Drosophila melanogaster: one gene and its partner. The protein of the gene in region 1 interacts with the protein of each later gene in a pairwise test. Each region holds a gene or a part of one and is shown in the gene's direction. Other genes may lie near its edges. The genes, in order: PPYR1 and PpY-55A.

What was found.
Region 2: the proteins of PPYR1 (region 1) and PpY-55A interact in a two-hybrid assay, tested with the Drosophila melanogaster proteins (one study listed by BioGRID).

The regions. Positions count from the first base shown.
Region 1 is NC_004354.4:15,243,167-15,246,637, reverse strand, and holds PPYR1 (protein phosphatase Y regulator 1), read left to right. Parts: upstream 1-1,724; 5' UTR 1,725-1,800; coding exon 1,801-2,730; 3' UTR 2,731-2,779; downstream 2,780-3,471.
Region 2 is NT_033778.4:17,954,659-17,958,437, reverse strand, and holds PpY-55A (protein phosphatase Y at 55A), read left to right. Parts: upstream 1-1,867; 5' UTR 1,868-1,949; coding exon 1,950-2,894; 3' UTR 2,895-3,042; downstream 3,043-3,779.

The DNA.
Region 1 (3,471 bases):
ATACTTGGAAAATGTCGTGTGCTGTTGATTTTGGCTGCTGATTTTGTTGTTCGAGCGACTGTTGAGTGGCTTTCATTAGGGGCAATCGATTGAATGGAATGGAAAGGCGGCTGTGCCTGCCGTCTTTTGTTGTTTGCTCGCCGTTTGCTAAAATGTTTGCACTTGGCTTAAACGCAAAATTTGCTGATATTTGGCAAACAGGCGAAAGGATGCCCCGGAATGCGAAATGCAAAATGTGAAATGTGAAATGCAGCGATGCGTTGTCAATGGCAGCATCTGCGGTTTTCCACTGCCACGAGTGGAGTGGGTATTTTCCGAGCGGTTTTTCAGGGTAGCGGCTCGAATTGTTCATATTTTGATTAATTTCACTGTTCTGCTGCGACTCCTTGCTGTTGTTGTTGTTCTTGTTGCTGCCGCTGTTTGTCAAGCGGAGTAATTGCAAAATCCAGTGCATCTGTATATGTGCGTGTGTGCTGCAATTATGCTCACGCACACATACGCACACACGCACACTTAAGCACACATGCAAACTGCAGTTAAGCAAATAAAGCGCTAAAAGCATAAACTAAATGAATTAAACGACACACAGAGAGGCTTACAGCCCCTGCATTATGTATACACCCCAGTGTATATGCGTGTATATGTGCATGCACATATATATATATATATATATATATGGCTGATATACACCCACCCATATTTTCCTGGAACTTTCTATAAAATATGAGATAATAAAAAGTGAATTATGTTTTTGCACAGCAGCGGCAGAGGCGAATATATACATAAAAAAAAAAAACGAGAGCAAAAATGGGGCGGTAGAAAAACACGAATCTCGCAAATAAATGCGAATAACTACATCAACAGGGGGGCCACAGCAACAACAAGAGTTAATTGCAATTGTTTGTTCGCCAGCTTAGTTTTTTATTTGCACTTTAATTATGAAAAATAGTAGCAGAGCAGAGCAGAAACTAATTTTCATAAGTACACAACTTTGTGCTGGAAAAACAGAAGCAACACACAACGAGGACGAGCAGACACATGACTTATGACAAAACACAGAACTTGATGGCCAAGACCATGGACCGACCCCTCGACCACTGGACTCTTGGCCACTGGACTTTTGGCCACTCCACAGAGACACAAGGGAGCCACAGGAACGGGAAGCCAAATGAAATGAACGGAGTGGGTAGAACGAAGCACTCGGCGAGCGTATAAAGTTATAAATAATAATGCCGGAAAATTGCGCTGGTAACTGAACGCTTAAATGAATATCCTAGCAACTCCATGGCAATCATATATATAACTTTTCGAAATAAATGAGGGGTTGCGAACACTAGAGACACGTAATTGAATGTTATGAAAAATACAAATATTTTATAACGAAATTCCTTGAGTAGCCTTTTATTGGAATTTGAAAAAATTATGATGTCCATATATATCAACTCAGTATTTATGTACCAATGCACAAGAAGTACATAACATAATGCATTTCAAAAGCCTCCATTAAACATATGCAAAGCATATATTAATTGAGTTATATGAATATATATTATGATCTTATCAAACTTATCAAACAAAAACTGAGCAACTGTAACTTCTGGCTTATATTTGCTGAGTCAATCTTAAACCGTTTTTGGGAAAACTTAGTTGCCCAGTCGATCAGCTGCCAGGCTCATTCCGTTTCTCATTCAGTTCAGCTCCAAACTCGCTCGCCTTCAGAGCTCCGATTATATAATAAATTATATATCTGATTTTTACTTAAATTCGAGCTTTAACAATCGTTGCACCTTCGACGACAGTATGAACGTACCACTCGTAGCCCTCACCAAGGATCCCAAGATGAAGAAGTCACAGAAGAAGTCATCAATGGTGGCCGTTCCCAAGATGTCGCAGAAACCACAGAAGGCAGCACGTCTATTTCAGCCAAAGGTGGAGAACAAGATTACTTTGACCACTCCATTGACTGCACCCAAAAAGGAACGGGTGAAGGACATCAAGGTGGCAGATCCTCTTGAGAAGGAAGTAGAGTCAGTATTCGTTACAGTACCGAAAAACAAACTTTGCAAAACCAGACGCAATCGTCCTGGTGACCGACTCTTTGATCGCCGTTCCGGATCGAAACGCACTGGCGTAAAGGCGGTGGAAAAACGCAATGGAGCCGGGGCCCACAACTGGGGATCCATCCAGCAGGAGATCGACTTGCGTCAGAGGACCAATTTGCGCACCTTCGAAGGGATGAAGTTACCAAAGGTATCGAGTTTCGTCTACGAGTACGATTCATCGGAGGAGACCGAACAATATACACTCGACGAGTGGCGTGCCATGCAGGCGCAGAAAAAGCAGGTTTTGAATAAGTTTATAATGTCTGATTTCGGTACAAAGAAAGAAGTAACAGGGGGTTCTGAAGAAACTGTACGAGCCGAGGGATCAGGAGACACAGACGACACCAAAGGATTGGACAAAACAGGAGGAACTGAACAAACAGGAAATACTGAAACAGGGGAGAGGTCTGCTGGATCTGGAGAAACAGAAACAGCCGCAGCATCTGGAGTACCTGACGCATCTGGAGGATCTGGAGGAACTGAGGGATCTGGAGGATTAGGAGGATCAGGAGAGCTGGAAGACGATGGCGAAGAATTAACCGCTGACCGCCCGTTGTACGTTGTTGATATTCTGTTAAATTTCAACACTGATCAAGGTGTTATTCCTTATCGCTTAAAATTCATTTAATTTGCTTGCGTTTGCGTGTTACATAGTATTAAATCGTTCAAAATTAAATAATACATGTATTTTGAATAATTTCTACGTTCTTTAGGATATATATAAATCATAAATACATATAAAAACATAATCAAATAAAAATTTTATATTAGTTTATCAAGCTTTTAGTGATCTGAACAATTTTCCTTATTTTTTCAGGGCCTTCCAAATAATTGGGAAACCCTTAAAGTCATTTTAAGGCTGTTTCCCACAGTTTTGATGGAATTTTCCGGCGTCACCGCAAACTTTTCAGTTTTCCATGTTGTGTTTCCGCCTGTTTCTCACGCCCACCCCCAAGTTCGCCGCCCTGTTTCTGGTTTTTGTGCCTTCTCCTTCATGTTACATTAAATTGAACAAATTCTAGCGAAACAAAAACAAAAGCACAAAACTGTGGGAGTATAAGGAACTTTAGAGTGCAAAAATGGGGGAAAAAATAAGTCTGCCAACTTTTTTGCGCGGCCTATTCTCTGTCCCCCTCTCCCTATCACAAACTCTATCGCCCTCTCGCTTGCACGAATTACACAACTCACACGGCCCAGAAAGAGCCGGCAATAGTGAGCGAAAGGGAGAGCAAGAGCAACCAAAACTATCTGCGGAACTGCAAATTAAATGAAATTCTAGAAAGGTTCTTAGTTCCACTGTGGGTTTTCCACTAATGAAAATCTCTGTGTTTCCTATTTTCTTCTCCCTTAGTTCATTTCCACTCTGAAA
Region 2 (3,779 bases), on another chromosome or scaffold:
TTCCACGCGCATTGCATCAAGTACTTTAGTACGGGAGGAAACCAAGAAGTTCAGAGCACGTGTTGGGACTTAGGAGCAACCTTTCCGCCCCCCAAAGTCCTGTCGCCATGGCAACTCTCTCAATTGTTGTCCGGTTCATGTGTCCTCCAGTGCCCCGCATCCCCCGCCACCCAAATAAATAAGAGCATTTATATGAATTTTGTTTTGATTTTCTAGGACAAGCAAAAAAAAAGGGGTAAAGTAGCTAATAGAAACTTGCACAAACTCTGCAGCACATTTTTGGTAAGGAGTCAGTTTTAAAATGAAGATTCATAGGAAAAATGGTCGTGCAGACAATGTACGATGAAATAATCAGCTTTTTAGAAATGAAAACATGATGGGCATGTATGGGTGAAACAATTTGCATATTTCGATTGTTTTGGCAATTAACTGCAAAGTTCAAAGTTTTTGGTGTATTGAAGAGGACCAATAATTTTTGGAAACTTATAAGAAAATGGGTATTTGTTTGCCAAAAATTGATGAATAACAATTATTAATATTAATACAAAAAAATTTTAATTCAACATGTGTTTTCCGTAAAATGATGATTCCATTAGAAGAACAAGCCAGATGCCCGCCTAAATGCATTTTATTATTTTATTTCTGTCACTTATTCCATCCAGCTGATGAAGATATATGCGCCACAAATTCTTTATCATTTAGAATGCGATTTTGGTCGGCAGTGGACAGGGCCATAAATACTAATAGCCAAAATAGCCGGGAAGACATAAACCATAGCCGAGAAAAGTAATTCCCACTAGAAGGACGAGTAATAATCAACATCAAATTGCCTCGTTTCGAGTTCCAGTTCCAATTTGGGTCTTCTTTTTTTTTATATTTTCGGGTCTCTCGGTTTCGGTTTCGGTTTCATTTTCGGTTCCAGTGCAAAGACTCACTCAAGTTCATTTATTTTTATTGTTTTCGGAGCTTTCGGCGACAATTTATGGGCCAGCGGAATACAAAGATATTTATGTTGGTTGGTCTTGAGCGAATAAAATGGCGAAACTTATGTATATGGCCAGTCGGAACTTTATTTTATTTATTTTATATTTTTATATTTTCCTTTTCAATGAAAAGTGCAGGGGCGAAAGCAATGCGAAAATGGTGGGAGCAAGAGAAAAGCGGAGAAAATCTACGTAGTACGTACACGGCATTCAATGAGAGTGAAGAACGAATAATTTACTTTCCTTTTCCCCGGCTAAGCATCCAGCATTCTATCTTATTTTGCACTAAATTTTAACAGGATTTAGCCCCGTCACTCTTTGCTGTCAACTGCTAACAAGCGGCAAAGACGTCGGAGGTTTTGACCAGCCGAGCGATTCAAGCCAAGCCAAACTTGTTGGCCCAAAGGGGGGTCCATTCAAGGGTGCGGAGGTGGGCTGAGTTCGTTGGTTGGACTGAGGGAGCAGGTGGACTGAGCGGTGTGGGCGTGGCATCGTGTCCATGGCGAATGAGTTTTGTCGCAAATCCGCTTACGTCCACACCGCCGCTACGAAAATTGTGATGGCGCTTCTGATGGAGATGACGATGACGACAACCAAGATGATGCTGATGACGATGACGATGATGATGATGACGGCCTTCACTACACCCCATTCACGCCCAACCCCACCACCACCCACCCTTGGAGCCATTTTAACTGGCACATAAATAAATTCCATAAATCTTTTGCACTTTAACGCTTCTGCTTTAAGCCCAGTCAAGTCTGGGCTAAAGTCGGATGTGGATTTTGTGGAAAGTGCGGAGCTGGAAGATTATCCTCACATATATAAAAAAAATAGTCTTAAGCGCTAAATATGTTTAATTTCACTAATACTATTACAAACAAAAAACACTTCCTTTCTAAAAAATGTCACAGTATATTATAAAAATTTTTCGTTGTATGTTTAGTACAAATAAAATCGAATACGATGGCCGTCTTAACTACTCACGAAATAGATTGCATTATAAAGGAGCTCACATCCCTGAATGGAAGTGAGTGCACATTAAAGGAGGAACTAATCGAGAGACTCATTCAACAGACTCGTGAAGTGATCAAATGGCAACCGATGCTGCTCGAACTTCAGGCTCCGGTCAATATATGCGGCGATATTCATGGCCAGTTTACAGATCTCTTGAGGATTTTCAAGGCATGCGGCTTTCCACCCAAAGCCAACTATTTATTTCTCGGTGACTATGTGGACCGGGGCAAGCAATCGCTGGAAACAATTTGCCTGCTATTTGCTTACAAAGTTAAATATCCGCTAAATTTCTTTTTGCTTCGCGGCAATCACGAGAGCGCCAGTATAAATAAAATTTACGGATTTTATGACGAGATCAAACGTAGACACACTGTTCGTCTGTGGCACAGTTTCACCGATTGCTTCAACTGGCTTCCGGTGGCCGCATTGGTGGGCGAGCGCATCTTCTGCTGCCACGGAGGACTGAGTCCATCGCTCCGGAATTTGCAACAGATCAATCATATTCAGCGACCCACTGATATTCCGGATGAGGGTATCATGTGCGATCTCCTTTGGGCGGATCTAAATCACACCACCAAAGGCTGGGGTCACAACGATCGCGGTGTGAGCTTCACCTTCGATAAGGTCATAGTTCGGGATTTTCTTAAAGCCTTCGACTTGCAACTTATGGTTCGCGCCCATGAGGTTGTGGAGGATGGATACGAGTTCTTTGCCAACCGACAGCTGGTCACCGTATTCTCGGCCCCCAACTATTGCGGTATGATGAACAATGCCGGCGGAGTGATGAGTGTTAGCACAGACTTGATCTGCTCCTTCGTCATTATTCTACCGTGTCACAAATACAAAATGATTGCGACTGATGCCAACCAAATGCCGACTAACGAAGAGGAGTGATTTTGTTTTTCATACATGTATATATCACTTCGTGCAATTAAATTCGTACAATAACAATTCTTTTTATGTAGCTGATATATCAAATATATATACTATATATACGTTCACATTTAAATATTTAACCAGAAAATAAAAGACATTAGTTACTAGTATTCCATTGCATTTCTAAGTCTTTCAAATTAAGCAAACAAAACAGTAGCAATATAAATTACTCGGAAATTTGAGCTTCCCTATGAATACTTGAAAATAAAGTGACTTCAAATTAAATTTTATCATATTTGAATATTTGCCCGAAGTCAACTCCTTGTTGACTTGCACAACTTCATAGCAATTGAAGGTCAATGTGAGGTAGATTTCCCATCCGAATCTCCGACTGACCCACTTCCTGTGTCACCTGGCAGGACTGGACGGACTGGACTGGACTGACAGGTGGCTTCAACACGCTTGTTTCGCCATTTCATTTGCAGCTCGTTGCTGTGCTGCTCGGCCAAATGAATTTTATATGGCTCTTAAGTTGGCCCAGACTTGCTGCCAGATTGAGATGCTGATTCTGATGCTTATGCTGATGCTGAAGCTGATTTCCTGATGAGGAGGCATTCTGCAGCTTAGCCTCCTGTCCAAGGTTCGCTGGTTTGGTCCTCGTGCATGAGACAACATTTATTTGATCTGGCAAAAGTCGCATGGCAAACAGGCGAGTGTGTGTATGTGGACTTGGACTTGGACGGACTGCTCAGTGTTGCATACGAAAGTATCTCCGTCTGGTTGCTGCACGCTCGAATAATTTAATACATCCTCGCCCTCCCTCGTCCTGCAGCAGGATGTTCTGGATCCTTGGCATTTGGAATGCACACAGCGTGCCATTTGACTGCAATTTAATGCTCTCTC